3 linked regions of the Macaca fascicularis genome follow. The protein of the gene in region 3 purifies or fractionates together with the protein of the main gene of each other region. This does not show direct contact. Links are inferred from orthologs where the notes say so. Each region holds a gene or a part of one and is shown on either strand. Other genes may lie near its edges.

Region 1 (6,284 bases), on a different chromosome or scaffold from region 3:
CATGGAGAAACTCCGTATTCACTAAAAATACAAAATTAGCCAGGCATGGTGGTGCATGCCTGTAATCCCAGCTACTCAGGAGGCTGAGGCAGGAGAATCGCTTGAACCCGGGAGGCAGAGGTTGCAGTGAGCTGAGATCACGCCATTGCACTCCAGCCTGGGCAACAAGAGCGAAACTCCGTATCAAAAAAAAAAAAAAAAGATACAATACCATGTCTTCCAAGGAAATACTTCTTTTCTTCTGAGGTTGGTTTGACCTATACTAGCAACAAAATTTTTTGTCATATTATTGCCTAGAATGGAAACTAAAGAGGTTGTTTAATATCCAGAGAATTTGACCAATGTCACATACCTAGTCACAGGCCAAATTAGAACGCAGTTCTCTCCTACCTACCAGGCCACTCCTTCACCACAGATAACAAAACAAGGTCACAATTAATTGATCAAAGAAAACTCAAAAGAGCATGCCCTGTAGTATTGTATCAATACTAAATTTCCTAATTTGGATCTCTGGTTATGTAAGAATGTCTTTGTGCTTAGAAAATCCATGTTGAGCCAGGTGTGGTGGCTCACACCTGTAATCCCAGCACTTTGGGAGGCCGAGGAGGGCAGATCACGAGGTCAGGAGTTCGAGACCAGCCTGACCAACATGGTGAAACCCTGTCTCTACTAAAAACACAAAAATTAGCCGGGCTTGGTGACGCACACCTGTAATCCCAGCTACTCAGGAGGCTAAAGCAGGAGAATCGCTTGAACCCAGGAGCTGGAGGTTGCAGTGAGCCAAGATCACGCCACTGCACTCCAGCCTGGGCGGCCAAGCGAGACTCTATCTCAAAAAAAAAAAAAAAAAAAGGAAAGAAAAAGAAAGATGAAAGAAAGTCCATGTTGAAGTGTTTAGAGATAAAAGGGCTTGATACCTCCAACTCTAAGGGTGGGGGGAGGCACACAGTACATATAAATATTTACCTACAGTGATGAAGCAAATGCAGAAAATGTAACCAGTTACTGAATCATATGGGAGTTATCTGAAACATTGTTGTAACTTTCTGTTCATTTGCAATTATGTAAAAAATGCTATGTGAGTGAATAAACTGCCTTATGTCACAAAACTAGCATTTTACTTTTAACAAGACAGGATTTGGCCAGGCGCAGCACGTCATGCCTGTAATCCTAGCACTCTGGGAGGCCGAGGTGGGTGGATCACTTGAGGTCAGGAGTTCAAGACCTGCCTGGTCAACATGGTGAAACCCGTCTCTACTAAAAATACAAAAATTAGCAGGGCATGGTGGCAGGCGCCTGTAATCCCAGCTACTTGTGAAGCTGAGGCAGGAGAATCGCTTTAACCCGGGAGGTAGAGGTTGCAGTGAGCCAAGATCATGCCATTGCACTCCAGCCTGGGCAACAGAGGGAGACTCTGTCCCAAAAACACAAGGAAAAAAAAAAAAGACAGGACTTCACGTCAAGGTCATCCTTCCCAAATCAAAATTATGCCAAATTTGGGGACAAACTGCAAAGAAAGGCTATCACAACCTTCATTTTCTTTAAATGAGGATATATATCTCCATCCTGAGGTTCTGGGAAGAGGTTCTAATCTGTGCAAAAGCACTAAACATTTCATGCAAGCCAGCTTCAAATTACTCCTCCAGGACCCCACAATGCCAACCCTACTACCACACCTTTAAGTGTTACTTCCTCTTCTAAACTGATTCAAGTGACCAGACCAGGACAGAAATCTATCTACTCAAGGAGTAACACTGACTCAAATAACTAAGTATTTGTTCAGCTAACAATTCCCTCTTCCTTAAGACCACCACTGCAGACCACTCTGCTACATACTGCAGGCAGATCCAGAGCCGGTTACGTAATAATTTCTCACAGTCCCAGTGGGAAAAAAAATTAGGGGGGATACCATTATAGCTCAGTCCAAACTAGCATTATTTCAGATAATCAAATTCACAAATGAAGAGATACGTTCCAAAAGAAAGACACCAGTTTAAAAAAAAAAAAAAAAAAAAGGCAAAAGGAACAGCTGGAGAAGGTAGGAAAAAACCCAAGACCTCACAATAATAATAATAGTATCTGTTACTAGGTAACAAAATCAAGTCTGACAAAACCAGAGGTCACCGAATTAAACCAAACATCAGCAAGCCTTCTTGGGGAAGGTGGCTAAGGGTAAAACAAATTTAATCTAAACTAGTTTTGGCTCCAAGGAGCTGCAAGTCCACAGGCGTGCGGTGAGGGGGCTGACAAGGACCCCCAGGGGAAAAGTCAAAGTGCTGTGCTTAGATTTTGCGAAAAGATGCAGGTATGGTGGGTCTCCAGATGACTTGTGGCAACATAAAAGTTTCATGATCAGAATTGGAATTCAAAGTGGACCAAAAAGTGTAATAGAAAAAAAAAGTATGAAAGGAAACCTGAAATTGTTCTACGATGCTTGCTTTGTTTTAACGGAAGCTCACATTCAGGTCAGGATGGGAAGACCAAGTTCGTTTGTGTGTGGCAAAAAGAAGTTTTAGATGTTGCTGAAAAGTTCACTTATGAACGTGGGCACCGAGTTTGAAAGAATAAGAGAAAGGCTACGAGCACGAAGAAAAAGCAAGGGGGCTCAAAGAGGCACAACAAATAAATCCTGACAGCTAAGAACTGCAACCCACGCTGTCTGACGGCAGAAAGGCCGCGGGAAGCTGAGGGGCAGGGGATAGGCGGAGTGCCAGGGCGGAATCGAGGTCACAGCGGAGAGGGCAGAAGAGCGAGCTGACGCTGCCGAAGGAGGCAGGAGAGCAGCCCCTGCAGTCCTGCGTCGAGGCCGGAGCAGACCAGCACCTCTGACAGCCTGAGAAGCTGAAAACGCTACCTGCTGGGCCCACGGTGGGCGGACCGGGCGTTTAAAGGTCAAGGTCAAGGTGGGGTTTGGCAAGCGATGCATAGCGCTCAAAGGAGACCGAAAACTTACAAATAAGAATGCTATTATAAAATTATGACTATCGTAATTTTTTTTAATAAGAAAAAATAAAAGGTCTCCTGGACTGCTGCGGGGTGGAGGCGGCCCTGGCAGGAACGCGTGCAAAATAGGCCGGGGGCTGAAGTTGGAACGGAGGGCGGGCCGAGGGACCAGTGCTGGGCCACCGGAGGGAGGGAGGCACTGAGACTTGGGCCCAGGGCCTCCGCCGCACTCACTTGCCCTCCTGGCAGTCATAGAGCACGATGGAGTCGTCGTCGCTACTCGAGATGACCGTCTCGCCGTTGGGGCTGAAATCGAAGCAGTTAATCTTGTCCGAGTTTTCGCGGAACACCTTAGCGACGCGGAAGCTCCGCAGCACGCTATCGGTCAGCTTCATGGCGGCGGCTGAGGAAGGCAGCGGCGGCGCAGGACCGGGGCGGGGCCCGGCGGCGAACGGGCGGGCTGCCGAGGGGCCAACCCAGGCGGGGCGGGCGCCGCGCCGGCGGCTAGAGGGAAGTCGGCCAACAGTTGGGCCACCTCCTCCTCTTCCTCCTGCTTGGACGAGGGTCTTCTGCCTGAACTGCGGAGCCTCGCCGTCTGTTCGTCTTCACAGCCACCTCACGGACAACCGGCGCGTCGCCGGCTCATTGTGTCCGCCATTTTGGGGCGACAGGCAGAAGCTGAGGGCGAGGAGCCTTAGCCGCGGCGCACGCCGGGAAAGGGGGCGGGGCGGGAACGGCCTCGCGAGGCCGGGAGTGGGGGTGGTGACGTCAGCGCGGCCGCGGCTGAGTGTAGTGGCAGGGCTGGCCGCTGGCAGGGAGGGGCTCAGACGCGCGGGGCCTTCTCCGGGGGTCGGAAGGTTGCGGGTGCCTTGGAAGCTGAGGGCCCTTGCGCTAGACTGCAACCCCTGCGAAGGCTCTGGCGCCTCCTGCAGGCTTCCCGACCACAAGCCGCGTGGGAGGGGGTACTGCAGGGTCGAGTACGCCGCTGGAGGCCGGTTTTGGGGGCGAATCAGGTGAGCCGCTCGCGGGCAGGCTTGACCGCTAGTCCACCGCAGCGCCCGCTTAGACAGCTTCGACCTCTTTTTTTTTTTTTTTTTTTTTGAGATGGAGTCTCTCGCTTTGTCGCTCAGTTGCGCTATCTCGGCTCACCACAACCTCCGCCTCCCGGGTTCAAGGGATTCTCCTGCCTCAGCCTCCCGTGCAACTGGGATTACAGGCGCGCGCCACCACGCCTGCTAATTTTGTATTTTTAGAAGAGACGGGGTTTCACCATGTTGGCCAGGCTGGTCTCGAACTCCTGACCTCAGGCAGTCCGCCCGCCACCCGCACCCGGCCTGGTGTTCTTAATCGAGGTAGACTTTAGGTACAGTAAAAATCAGCCGCCTTGGGCCGGGCGCGGTGGCTCACGCCTTTCCATCCCACCTCTTTGGGAGGCCGAGGCAGGATGATCGCTTGAGCTCAGGAGTTTGAGACCAGCCTGGCCAACATGACAAAACCCCATCTCTTCTAAAATACAAAAAATTAGCCGGGCATGATGGCGCGGCTGAGGCACGAGAATTGAGAAAGGGAGAGGCTGCAGTGAGCCGAAATCGTGCCACTGCATTCCAGCCTGGGCGACAGAACAGACGGTCTCCCTCCAAAAATTAGCCTTTTTAGTGGCTAGTTTTATGTTCTAACACCCATAACACAGTCATGCAATCACCACCACATTCAAAATATGGAAGAGTTGCACTATCCTGTTTGTAGTCAACAGGATTATTCTAAAGGTTCTATCATATAAGTGATTCTTTGCCTTAAAAGAAGTTTATCTCTAACAAAGGAAAACAGTATTTGAACAGAAAATAGGAACCAAGCTTCCTAACCTTAACTTTATGGGCAAAGGGTTACACTCAGTGCCAGCCTATGTAGCTTCACAGATCTCTATCTTGTGTGAAGCTCCTCCAAAGGTTAAAAAGCCTGGGGTTTCCAACAGTGGAGATGGGGATTATTTATTTTTGCTTTCTTTAGCTAAAGAGAAACAAAAACAAGGAAAGGCTATGAGACATTTCAGTCGCTATTAGGAAGGTGTGATATCCAGAGACCTGTGCAATGGTAAAAAACAAAATGGAAACCCTGGGACAGCTGGGGTCTTTCTAGAAAGAACTTAGAGGCTGTATCCCAACCCCCTGGGTAAAAGGAGAGCCAGGATCCTTATACATAAAGAGAAGTTGTTCTCTAAGGGAAGAGGGCAAGTTCCTGGCTAAGTCTGGGGTATAATTGCCTCCTGACAAAGAGCAGAGCTTCTGGCTACAATTTGTTCTGGGGTCTGGAAAAAGCCGGTTTGAGTGAAACCTGAATAGATGGCAACTTTCCAAACTGCACAGCAATGGAAGAAAAACCCTCCACGCCCCAGATCACTCACTCTGCTTCCCTGTAATTCCTGTGCCTTTATTTCAGAAGCTAGAAAGGCTGATACAGAGTCTGCTTCGAATAGTTTAGAAGGCAACAAGGACAGATCGAGTGCCATGTTCTGGAACTGTCGGGAAGTGAACGCGCCCAGTAAGATGATGCCGTATTTTGGTCCATGTTAATCTACAAAAATAACCACAGAAACAGCTGTAATCTACTGAATGTTGCCGGCCAAAAGAAATCTTTTCAGGGTATCTTTCAAGTATTGTACTTCCTATACCTTTTCCAGATTTCACCGTTAAGACCAAACCTTCCTCCCAAGACTTGCCTTTCTGCATTATTTTTGGAATGCAGTCTTTTTTTTTTTTTTTTTTTTTTTTTTCGTTTTTAAGAGGGTCTTCAAATGCTCATCCTATTTCACATTCTTACTGTTTCCAATTCCTAGCCTGGCTCCCTGCCCTATTATAGTGGGGCTCTCCTGGCTTCCAGCCCAACAGCATGGTTGCCTTAAAGGATGGACTTTAGGCCAGGTGTGGTGGCACTTTGGGGGGCCGAGGCGGGTGGATCACAAGGTCGGGAGTTCGAAACCAGCCTGGCCAAAATGGTGAAACCCTGTCTCTACTAAAAATACAAAAATTTGCTGGGCACAGTGGTGGGCACCTGTAATCCCAGCTCCTTGGGAGGCTGAGGCAGGAGAATTGCTTGAACCCAGGAGGCAGAGGTTGTAGTAAGCCGAGATCATACCACTGCACTGGGCAACAGAGCAAGACTCCGTCTCAAAAAAAAAAAAAAAAAAAGAAGAGATGGACTTTAAAAAGTGACCCAGAAAGCTGGCTCCAGATCTGGATGGGTGGATGGAGAGAAAGCTGCAGTCAGGAGTGAATCAGATGGCCTTTAAAAGAGCATCAGACTTAATTTTTTATATTTCCTTTTATTTGTAGTCATTTTGCTTG
Region 2 (6,135 bases), on a different chromosome or scaffold from region 3:
TCCCACCTCCCCACCTGAACTCCTCCATGGACCTGCTCAGAGCTTAAGCCTAGTGGTTCCCAACTTCTCAGCTCAAGAACATTCTATGATAAGGTAACTGAAGCACAGACAATCAAATAACTTTCCCACAGTCACTCCGCAGGGAGATGCCGATTCTGGGAGAAGCAGGCCTCAAGAAAGGGCCATGCCCCATCCTCCCCTCTCTCTGGGGGATCTTAGGCCTTTCCTTTGACCCTTAATGACTCTCCCTGCTCCCTACCTGGGCACAAACTGGTTGGCGGGTCTCTTGGGCCGGTACTCGGGATGCACCATGAAGAGCATGTGAGGGAAACCAGTGCCAAAGTAGGCGCCATCCGTGTGATGGTGTCTCGATGACTTGGGTGTGTACACATCCATGCACTTGGGGCAGTAGAGCTTCACCATGGCTTCACCTGGGATGTCTGAAAGGCCTGGGAGACAGCCAGACTCAGCAGGCCAGGTATCTCCCTGTTCCTACTTAACCTCCCCTCAGGACTCAGGCCCCAAGATGCTGAGCCCTAACTCCTTCCCGTAAGACTGCCACAAGGTGCCTTCCTTTCCCTTCTTCAACACTCACCGATGGGAAGCATTGGCTGGTTCTCACAGTACACACGAGGACAGTAACCAAAGTCTCCCTGCTGGTACTTTTCCAACTGAAGTGAATAAAATGGAAGGGGTTGGCAGGTAGGTGTGAAGAGAAGAGGCAACTCCCTTCTCAGCTCAACCCATATCACTCTGTCCCCCACTCCTCCCACCTCTGTCCAGAGGCCCCTTCTCTGGCCCAGATGGGCTCTCAAACTCCTATGTTGCCTTTCTTCCAGTTAGGCAGGCTACAAACCATCAGAGCCATTTGTTGTTTGTTCCCTGAGGAAGAGGCAGTCTATCACAACTCTCTGTTCAAGGACTGTCTCCCTCCCTGAAAATTATCCCTTCAGGATGACCCCCAATCAGAATTCAATTCCCAGGCCCAAGCCTGGGGTTCTTCTCCTCTTCTCAGCCAGTTTCCTTAAACAAGGCTTAAACATGACTTCTTGCTGCAGGAACCTGTGTCCCTTACTGCTCAGAAGGAGGCAATTAGGAGCAGAGAGGCCTCACCATCTGGGCAATGCCACGGTTGGTAAGGATGTAGCGGGCGTGGATCAATCCATAAAGCATCTCGGCAGCCTGCTCAATCAGGTCACTCTGGTTGGGGTTGTCTTCCAGTTCTTCATCTGAAACACAGCCCGGCCAAATGCAACCACTTGTTTTTCAGCTTTCCTAGGTGCCCTGCCCATATCCAGGGGGTGCGGGCTATTCAGTTCGCCTGGCACCTACTTTTGGGCCTTACCCCATCCAACATCTGGGCATGTGACCCAGAAACCTGGGCTTCTGACCCTTGCGCCAACCCAAGACAGCTCTGTCTTCTCTTCACACCTCTTTAGCCTCCGCTCCCCACTCTCCCTCCCAGCTCCCTCCCCGATACATAACTGCAACAATGTCAATGCAAAAGATGAAACTCTAGACTGGAAGGTGCAAAGCAGGAGAAATAGCAAACCAGACCCATGAGGAAACATATTTTGGAAAACATCTGAATTGTGGATTTAGAAAACATGGGAACAAGTGATATACGTCACAAAACTAGACACAGTCAGGTGGAGGATCAAAATAAAGCATGAATTTGGGGTTAAAGAAATCAGAGAACCAAAGGAAATTTCAAAATTCAAGTAAGTGAATATAGATTTGAAGAGAAAAAAAGTGCATGCACACACACAAAACAACCCTGAGGGTGCCTCACCAGGCTCCAGGTCCAAGATCATGTCTAGAGCTTGTCGATAGTGAGGAACCTGCTCATTGAGTCCAGTAAGATTAAATTTGTCCTGGATGTAGTCTTCATCCACCTGTTGGGACATGGAAGCCAAGAGGGAACCCATATCAAAATCCCCATCTTTGACCTGGGCAAAATGCTCTAACTGATGCCTTATCATCAACACAACTGCATCTGTTCCGCTTGTTTCTCACTCCCAACTCAGCAGAAGTACTTGCGTCTCTCCCTAGTTCACCTATACTCCCTCCCATAAAGCTTTGGCTTTTCTTTTCTAAGGATAAGCAGGTACAGCAATCTTTTTCTTAGACATTCTTTTCAAGATCTCTGTCCCTACTCCTGTACTCCATCTCTAGGAACCAGTTTTGTCCTCTCAGCTGGCTGAGGAGGATGGAAGCTGAACGGCATGGTTTCTGAACAAAACATTTCAATACGTAGCATTTCAATTTTCCTAACAGCCAGCTGAGACAGGTACTAGCAGTACAACTTTAGTAATAAAAGATACAGGCTGGGCGCAATGGCTTATGCCTGTAATCCCAGCACTTTGGGAGGCTGAGGCGGGCAGATCACCTGAGGTCTGGAGTTTGAGACCAGCCTGGCCAACATGGTGAAACCCTGTCTCTACTAAAAATCCAAAAATTAGCCGGGCGTGGTGGCGGGTACTTGTAATCCCAGCTACTTGGGTGGCTGGAGCAGGAGAATCGCTTGAACCTGGGGGGCAGAGGTCGCAGTGAGCCGAGATCGCACCACTACACTCCAGCCTGGGCGACACAGTGAGACCCAGTCTCAAAAAAAAGATAAAGAAAAAGACACAAATTGCCTGCTGGAGGGTGGCAGAGTCGAAACTTGGGCCCCAGTTTTGCCACTTTAGCACAGGTTCGTCGGGGGTTATTGAGGGGACTCTTCGTTGATGGGAAGTTTTCAAGTAGTATGTAAGAGAACAGTGTAGAAGTGGAATACGTGAAGGAACATCTGGTGGGAAGATATGTGAAGCCAGCAAGTAGGGAGGTCGAAGAGAACTCACTTCACAGAAGAATTCATTGCCACGGAGCCCACAGAACCAGGAAATCCAGGACACCTCCTCTGAGCTGCTCATCTTCACGTCAGCTGAAAAAAAGAGTGTCAGTAAAGCTCAAGTTCTCCTTCCCTGCCTCGGGTATCCTCCCTCCTCCCACATTAGAACCACCCTTTCTTAAAGGATCCCAAACTCTGAAGCACTCCTCTCCAACTCCTCCAATTTACATCTCAGTTCCCTTTTCTTTGACGTTAAACATTCTTTGGGGTCCCACCACTTGAAAGAAGCCAACAGATACTTTGACCCACCAGCCCGACCCACGTCCCTGGAGCTCCCGAAAGCCAGGGCCCTCTCTTCTCTGTGTCAACTCCGGCAGGGACCTCGACTCAGGCTCCGTACCAATGCAAGTCTCTGCACGACCCCGGCGCCTTTCCCAAGGATTTCCAAGTTTATCACTCTCAAGCAAGAATCGGGCGCCTCCTTTTCTCAAGGGTTGGGGGCGACTGTCAGGTCCCTTTCACCGGATTCCACACATCCCCCCTCCGCTCCTCAAGCCACCTCTCCCTCCTTGCCGGACCTGGTTGCTTCCTCCCCCCGCCCCCATATCAAAGTGCGGAGACCCATGTGCGGCTCCCAGCGACAAGCGACTAGGAGCAGCGAAGACCTCAGACTCACCAGCTGGACGGGGACCAGGACTGGGGTGGGGTAGGGAAGTTGCTACTTCGAAGGAACGGCGGCGACCGCTACAGCGCAGGCCGCGGACCCGACCGCGGCAGGCGAAGTGGGGTGGGGGGAGTGGAAATTGGGGAGGGTGGGGAAGAGGGCAACACGCAAGCGCCAAGGGTCAGGTGCCGCGGTGGATGCCGGGACGCGGAGTCCCCGGTAGAGAGAGAAACCGGCTAAGTGAGGGAAAGCGAACTACCAATCCCAGGATGACCCGCGCACGACCTGGCTGTCACGAAGCCCCGGAGGAGGACGCTTGCGGGCGGGGCGCAACGAGAAGCCACCGGAAGCGGAAACCAGGTATGGCGTTCGGGGCCTGGGAGCCTGGGCAATACAGTTGTGTGCTCACTGGGCGAAGAAGCTGACTTAGGGCGGGGAAAGGAGGGAGCCAGGCTGGACCCCTCCTCGCAGCTCTCCTCACAGTTGCCCTCTAGTCCCGACGCGGTGCTGCTTCCCTGGGGACTGGCCTATCCTTGGCCAATGCGCTGGGTCCTTATTGCCTGTTGGGCCCCTAGTGCGAGTCAGTCCCGCCAGAGACCCTTGACGGGCCTTCTGTTTTACTCCGGGCTCCGGCCTCATGAGGCGAGAGGTGCGGCTTGGCTCCGTGCGTAGGGACTTGGGTTGGGAGGGCTGGGCTGGGCTGGGCTGGGCTGGGCTGGGCTGGGCTGGGCTGGGCTGGGTGAGAACCAGAACGGCCCAGTGCGCTAACCTGAGGTGGTGCCAGCCATTCTGCTCGTCCCCTTGCACTTCTCCATTTCCCCTTAGTCTCTAAGTGTGACCTTCGAACCCTGGTCAGAGTAATGGTGAGGGGCAGGCGTGACGTTATTTCATTACACGGCTTCTCGGCATTCCACAGGTTTCCCTCCGCCTCCTGAGGGCCTTTCCTAACCCAGAGAGTGGATTCCTAGCTCCAGAAAATGGGCTTGGAGCGGGGGCCACGTAGAGGAAGGCGAAGGGCATTGTGGGGGCGTTATGTAAAAGTAGGACCCCAACCGACAGATCCTAGCGCTCGCGCCACCTGGGCGCGCGGAGCTTTGCTCGTTTACTATTGGAAAAGTTCCAGCGCGGGAAACTGAACCGGGAGCTTTGCGCACGCCTGAGCCATCAAGTAATGTGGGTGGTGGTTTTTGTTGTTGTTGTCGCCACGCATGCGTCTCCGTGCCGTGTGGCTATTTGATTGTGTCAACTCTGCTGATCAGAATAGCGCCATTTTGCGTTACGGAAGCTACACGGCAACACGTATAGGAGCCTCTCCCCGAGATCTTCTAGGGAGTGACCCGTCTATTTTTGTTTGGGAAGAGGAAACTCCGAAATGGGATCACGGAAGACTTAAAGGGCCAGGTTTGATTTTTTTTTTTCCTACTGGTATGTCTGTTTTACGGGGTGAGAAAGTGATTTCAGAAAGAGGCTGGTATTTATTGTTGGTAAGGATGGGGGTGGGGGCCGGACGCAGGACCTCTGGACGACTGTCTCATGGAGTTTGATTAATCTTTACTAAGGAGCAAAGTCGGTATTGTAGGGTTTCGTGTTTTTACGCATATACTCTCTCCCTTAGACCCTGCAGAGTCTTAAGTTGTGGGGTCACTTTAGCGGCAGGAAAGTGTTTTTGACTACTTTTTCTCATCCCAGCAGGTCCCTGAGGCTCTGGTTGCTACAGAGTCACCAGGAGCTTGGCTTGCTTGTCGCATCCTTCCCTTGCCTGGTATCATTTTCTCAGTTCTCCCAAAAGCCATGTCCCAGCCCTTCCTCATCACCTTCACCCCAGCCACTGACCCCAGCGACCTCTGGAAGGATGGGCAGCAGCAGCCACAGCCCGAGGAGCCAGAGTCCACCCTGGATGGAGCTGCAGCCCGAGCTTTCTATGAGGCCCTTATTGGGGATGAGAGCTGCGTTCCTGACTCCCAAAGATCTCAGACTGAACCTGCCAGAGAAAGAAAGAGAAAGAAAAGAAGAATCATGGGGGCAGCTGCAGCAGAAGCAGTGGCAGAAGGAGTATCAGGAAGATATGGACAAGGGAGATCCCTTGAGGCTGAGGATAAGATGACTCACCGGATACTGAGGGCAGCCCAGGAGGGGGACCTGGCAGAACTTAGGAGACTGCTGGAGCCCCATGAGGCAGGAGGAGCTGGGGGGAATATCAATGCTCGGGATGCCTTCTGGTGGACCCCACTGATGTGCGCTGCTCGAGCGGGCCAGGGGGCAGCTGTGAGCTATCTCCTGGGCCGTGGGGCTGCCTGGGTGGGGGTCTGTGAGCTGGGTGGCAGGGATGCGGCTCAGCTCGCTGAAGAAGCTGGCTTTCCTGAGGTGGCCCGCATGGTCAGGGAAAGCCATGGAGAGACAAGGAGCCCAGAGAACCGGTGAGGGGAAACTTTAGCTCAGACCCCTGTCTCATTGTGTTCTGCCTCTCCCAGCCACTCCACACCAGAGGCCCCAGCACAGTGCTGAGTTCTTTCCTTATCCTCATGTGTAGGTTGACAAGGTAGTATAGTCAAGTGGTTATGAATATGAGCTACCTGGATTTAAAGCCTGATTTCACTTACTTGGGCAAACAACCTAATGTCTACATGTTCCAGTTTTC
Region 3 (5,673 bases):
CGCGGGCCGGACTGTTCCCAGCAAATGGACTTCCTGAGCCCGTCTTGGGTGCCTGCTTCACCGTCCCGAAGAGGGTGGGAACGGGCAGGTTGTGCACCCCAGGCTGGGGTGGGGCACCCTCAGGGGGTGGGGTGGCGGTGGTGGCGGTGGGGGCTGTAGCGGCCTTGGGCCGGGGCCGGTTGTAGCTGTTGTATCTGTCCGTGGGGGGGCCCCCATCGGCACCGGCCTTCCCTGTCTCTGGCTGTTCCAGGGCAGACTTGCGGACGAACGGGGGCTCCTTCGCCTTGGAGGCCGAGCTCTTGCCATTACCTTCAGCGCCCTTGGGCTGGGCACCTGTGTCAGCGGCCGGCTCTGTGGCTTTGCCCCCCGCGTTGGGAGTCCTCGGGTCGTAGAGGCTGATGCCGCTCAGCACGCTGCTCTGCCCGCTCCCTCCACCCTGGCCCAGCCCACCGGCTGCCAGCACGCGAGGGTCATAGGGAGCGGTGGCTGGTGGGGAGGCATCCCCACTCGGGCTGGCAGTGGGAGAGGGTGCCTCAGCGGGGCTGGGCTTGGTAGCCCGGGAGGAGGCCGTAGAGTCTGTGGGTTTCTGCAGCCGAGGGTCGGTGGGGGCCTTCCGCACCCGGGGGTCACTGGGTTTGTCAGTGGAACCAGGAGTAGCTGAGGAGCCGGTGGCATTGACCGTCTTGAGGATGCGAGAGAGAAGTTCAAAGTCGGGGAGGTTGGCGCCCTGTGTGCTGGAGTCCGTGGAGGCACCTGGGCGCTGCCGGGCGTTGGGGGGCCCTGCCGTTGCGGCGCGGTGCAGGCGGGGGTCCAGGGTGGGCATGGACTGCAGGGCAGCGGGCACGGGGGGCACTGCGTCCTGCTTGGGGACGGGTAGGGGGATCAGGTCCTCGGGATTCCAGAGCACGGTGCGGGCGAAGCTGGGCTTGCTCAGGGTCACGTCCTTCTTGATGTGGCTGAACTGCTGCAGTTGTGACCGTGGGTCCCGCAGGGGGTGCCCGGGGAGTGGGTCCAGGGGAATGTTCACGGCCTTCTCCCGCAGGGCCCGCTCCCCTTCCTCTTCCTCCGCAGGGGGCGGCCCAGACCCCTTGGAACTGCTGGGGCCCACAGGGCTGGAATGAAGGCTGCCTTCAGGCTTGGAGGTGGGCAGGGCGCGAGCCAGCCGAGGATCAGAGGGTCCGGAATCCCCTGGGCCAGACCCGCCAGAAGCCTCTGCGTGGCGGGTGAGTCTGGGGTCCCGGCTGAGGCGAGGGTCTGCCAGCCGGCTTCCTGTTGGGTGTCCCTTCTGGAGGCGGGGGTCTCCCAGCCCACTGCTGCTCAGCTCTCCAACTGAAGCTGGGGGTCGGCTGGACGTCTGCTGCCTCAAGCTCTTCAGGATGGAGGTTACACTGCTTCCACCCTCATCCTCATCACTTGAGTACCAGTTTCCAGTGTCACCTGGGAAAGAACAGAGGAGCAGGGAAGGGTAAGTGGGCGCATCCACCACCCGTCCTCTTGGACCCCACAGCAGCCCACCGTGAGCAGCTCCTTTGCTCGTGCCTCTCAGATCCTCAGGTCCTCCTCTCTAAGGCTCCCTCCCCACAACAGGCGGCTGAGGAGACCCAGGGAGCTAAGGCGCTACCGTTTATGCCATGCTCCCCAGCGCTCCTCAGTGGCGGCACTGCACTAGTGAGTTACTTAAAATAAAACAAACTACTAACCACCCCAGAAAGTAGTGATACTATCATGCCCATTTGACAGATGTGAAAACAGAGGCACGGTGCCGTTACTTAGACATCAGGGCCAGGACTGGGCTGGGACTCCTAACCCAGAGCTCTGGCGTCTCCTCCCGCCCACCTCTGGGCTGGTTCAGCCCCCACTGTGGCAAGTGCAGCTGTGGGCACCTCCTTCTGGAGGTCCTCGTAGCAGATACCATTGACTCAGTTCTGGCTGGGCCTAGGGCTCACAAACACTTGCTCCCAAACCGGCTCACGATGTCCCCATGTCCCAGGGAAGGGCGGCTGGACCAACCAGTCACCAGCTAAGAGGCAGGGCCGGCTGGGCAGACTCAGACATGGGCTCAAGCAAAACCTAGGCCAGTACAGCCTGGGCCATCAGGGGAGCCGCCCCTCTTCCTGCTGTCCCACTGGCTCCTGGGATACTGTCAGGGCCACCTGTGGCCTCTAGTTTCAGGATCCAGAAACCACTTGTCATTTTACCCCAAGGCGGACACCACTAAGTCAACCACACAGCAACTGAGACTTTGTGGCTCATGACTATGATTATTACTGGTTAATTTCAATGACTCTCTTGTCTGTTGGCTCCTTGAGAACATGGTAGGAAAACGGGGGCTTTGAGAGTCTCCCTAAAGCCTCCTCTGGCAGGGCGCAGGCAGCTGATCCTGTTGGCGGCTTTCTCTTCCAGAAACCAGCCCTCCACCCTACTCTATGGGATCAGGGTCTCTCCTGAACCCAACACAGAAAGCCATCCCTGACTGCCAGTTTTCTCAGGGATATACAGCAGCCCCAACCCGGCTTCATGGCCCTGGACAGGGGTCCTCCCTAGCCATGGGCTCCTTCCCGACAGGAAACCCAACCTGGAACACCCCACCACCTCCGCTCCCCTGCACAGTGGCCCAGGGCCTGTGCCCCGGCCCCTGGGGCGGACACGTGCCTTCCTCATTCTCCCGGTCCTGCTTGCTGCTCTCAGCCAGCCTCCTCGCTCTCTCCTCCTCCTCCTGCTGCTTCTGCTGGATCCTCAGGTACAGGGCCCTCTGGGCTGAGGGCAGGAAATCAGGGACACCGGCGCCTGGCTTCGGCCGGCCTGGGGGCCCTCCCTCAGAGAAGCTGTCGGGCTCCAGAGGGTGCTCAGGGAAGAGGTGCTCCCCAGGCTCCCCTGGCAGCTCTTCGTAGTGCCCGTAGTCCTCTGTGGCAGGGAAGAACCGAGGGTTCATGTCGGGAAGGGCCTCCAGGTGCCAACTCCAGCCCCACCCTGCCCCTCACTGCAAACCCACCCAGATGGTGATGGAGAAGGACGCACAGCCTGCCCCTGCCTGCCCTCCCCAGGTCTCAGGGGAACGGAGCCGCCCATGGGTAGCCCCGCCTATGTGAAGAATGAGGTTCAGAGAGGGTTGAGTGATGGGGCAAACGCTTATGAGGTGGAAACAGGATGGAACATCGGATGTACATTTGTAAGACGCAAGGAGAAGGCTTTGAAAAGACAGAAACAGTCCCTCTGGGACGCAGATTCTAGAGAGGCCAGGGATGGATCCTGCACTCTTTCCTGTACTTGTTTAATTATTTTGGATGGACAGGAGTTTCATGGTTTCTTTCTAACAATTAATAAGAAAACACTGTATATCTCATAGTGAACTCAACCATGTTCAACATTAAAAGCCAGGAAAAGAGAATGAAATGAGCCAAAGTGCTGCTCTGGCCAACAGAGGCTCCAGAGTGCCTTCCCTCCTGCTCCACAGCATTAGGGGGTCTCTCAGGAAGCACCGGGCCTCCACCTCCTGCGGTGTGGGCACTGGCACCAACCACCTCACCCCATGCACTCCCCCAGTGCCTGAGCCAAGAGCTGTGGGCAGCGGCACAGGCTGACGTGGGGACGCAGCAGGAGTAAAGGGGAGGGCAGGCTCGGCGACACCTCCTGCATGTTGTGTGTGTGCATGACATGTGAGCATGGGAGACAGCGAGTCACCGAGACGGGGGGATGTCTAGAGTCAGTGCTTCCCCACAGAACGCTATGCAGTGATGGAAATGTTCTAGATCTGCAGGGCAACATGTGGCCACCTAAATCTTCCTGGGGCAGCTGAGCATTTAAAACGTGGTGTCTAAAAAAGTGCACTTGTAACTTAGCTTACATTAATTTCAACTTCGTCAAGTGAACCTGATGGGCCAGCCTGCTCTGTGACACATCCCAGCGCAGAGCTGGGACCCACTCGACGAACCAGACAGCCAAGGGTCCCCCTTCATACAGTCTGTGCACACACCAGAAACCACAGACCACATATGTTAGAGGGAGGATTTTATGAAACAGGATTACCCTAGAGACACCTACTGCTACCAATGTGACCGACTTCTGGTTTCCCGCCAGCAAAGCTTCTCCCATGCACCTTTGAGATGCTTTTGTTAAAGGGAACCCCAGCACCTCATTGTGGCAGCCTGTTTTTCTCATCTTTCTAAAGCACCCACTCTCACTCGAGTACCTGCTCTCCTGGCTCCATGCACCACCTAAAGTCAAAGCCCATGTCTACATTTTGATCTCTAGCCTGGGCCTCTCCCTGATGCCCCTGAAACTACCCCTCAAAATTTCCACATGGCCATCAGAGGGGCAGGCACCCTGGAGTGACTATGCCCCACGTCCAGCGCCCTATCCTCAATGCCGCTCCTACCTGCCTTGCAAAACACACACAGGACTCACACTGCCCTACGGCGCCGCATCCAAACCTCGAAGCCCTGCCTTGCACTCCAGTGGCTGCCCTGCTGCCTCTGCCCAGGGACAGCCCCCAGCAGCTGCCACAGCAGCATCCCCAGCTCAACACAGCGTCGCCCCCGCCCAGAGGTCCCATCGTTCCTCACGTTGCAAGTGCTGCTTCACTTCTCAGAGAGACTTTTGTGACCATCCCCATTGAGGCACTGAGCCTTCTGGCCCACCACCACGGTACCCTACCTTTTCTTCTAACAATGGCCAGTGCTGAAAGGAGCCAACTCCTCTATCTACACGCTTGCCACCTGCTTCATTCCACCAAGATGCAACTGGGCAAGGACAGTGGGGGCCTACTGTGCCTGGCCCTCCTCCTCCAGAGGGCTGCACATCGCATCTCCTACAGCTGTAGCGTCATCTAAACCCCTCTGCTCACTGGACACATGTTACCAATGCAAAAGGAAAAAAAGGCAGGAAAACGGCCGGTAAAGGGCACAGAACCCGCAGAGTCCTGGGGTAGACACTGGTTGCTCCAAGCCGAGAACTGCCTGGAAAGAGAGAGTTTTGGCCAGGCCACTAACTGAGCCCTGATGAGCCCATCAGCCTCTCAGCCTCACACCCTTGCACACTCGTCCCTCTAACTTCCCATGCTTCCGATTCCAGGCACAGCTTGCAAAATTAAAAAGAAATAACCTATAATGATAATAAACAGAATATTCCTTTCTTCCTCAACAGAATAATAAATCCTATGTTACTGAAAACATTCAACCATTAAATGGGACAGAGATGGAGTCATGCTTTCTAAGAGACTCAGACAAAGGAAGAAAAATCACATCTCCCTGACTACTCCACTGTGTAAAGCCCGCAACCCCAGGCAGTCACACCTGGAGCCCCCATACCTGCATCCCCCAGGAGTCCGGACTCCATCTCCATGCCCTCCTGCTGCTGGTAGAAGTTTTCATAGAAGTTCTGGGCTGGCGGGATAGGGGGCATCATTCCAGAATGTGGGGAGTCTCCAGGGCCGTAGGGCATCATTGGCGGGCCACCAGGGCCCATGGGTGGGCCAGGATTCATGCCAGGGCCCATCTGCATGTCGGGGTGCATGTCCGGGTGCATGTCGGGGTGCATGTCTGGGTGCATGTCAGGGTGCATGTCAGGATGCATTGGACCGCCCATTGGCCCTGGGGGTCCCATGTTGGGCCCAGGGCCCATTGGCCCTGGGGGTCCACCAGGTCCAGGGAACCTAGAAGAAGGAAAAGGCACCTG

What was found. Proteins that work in one complex are often made in the same cells at the same time.
Region 1: the proteins of ZC3H4 (region 3) and WDR82 purify together in Homo sapiens (affinity purification with western blotting; 4 studies listed by BioGRID and IntAct, with this or other methods). This does not show direct contact. The link is inferred for Macaca fascicularis from reciprocal best matches to the Homo sapiens genes ZC3H4 and WDR82.
Region 2: the proteins of ZC3H4 (region 3) and CSNK2B purify together in Homo sapiens (affinity purification with mass spectrometry; 3 studies listed by BioGRID and IntAct, with this or other methods). This does not show direct contact. The link is inferred for Macaca fascicularis from reciprocal best matches to the Homo sapiens genes ZC3H4 and CSNK2B.

What each region holds. Positions count from the first base shown.
Region 1 is NC_088376.1:115,351,891-115,358,174, forward strand, and holds the start of WDR82 (WD repeat-containing protein 82), read right to left. Parts: upstream 3,613-6,284; 5' UTR 3,541-3,612; coding exon of another isoform or gene 3,339-3,540; coding exon 3,178-3,338; intron 1-3,177. Other genes in the region: uncharacterized protein, read left to right, coding at 3,337-3,540, 3,642-3,956. UniProt on the Homo sapiens protein: Regulatory component of the SET1/COMPASS complex implicated in the tethering of this complex to transcriptional start sites of active genes.
Region 2 is NC_088378.1:140,053,309-140,059,443, forward strand, and holds the start of CSNK2B (casein kinase II subunit beta), read right to left. Parts: upstream 3,613-6,135; 5' UTR 3,510-3,612; intron 2,927-3,509; 5' UTR 2,916-2,926; coding exon 2,844-2,915; intron 1,896-2,843; coding exon 1,793-1,895; intron 1,230-1,792; coding exon 1,114-1,229; intron 672-1,113; coding exon 596-671; intron 450-595; coding exon 260-449; intron 1-259. Other genes in the region: GPANK1 (G patch domain and ankyrin repeat-containing protein 1), read left to right, coding at 5,289-5,914. UniProt on the Homo sapiens protein: Regulatory subunit of casein kinase II/CK2.
Region 3 is NC_088393.1:55,065,500-55,071,172, forward strand, and holds part of ZC3H4 (zinc finger CCCH domain-containing protein 4), read right to left. Parts: intron 5,651-5,673; coding exon 5,307-5,650; intron 2,905-5,306; coding exon 2,653-2,904; intron 1,438-2,652; coding exon 1-1,437. UniProt on the Homo sapiens protein: RNA-binding protein that suppresses transcription of long non-coding RNAs (lncRNAs). LncRNAs are defined as transcripts more than 200 nucleotides that are not translated into protein.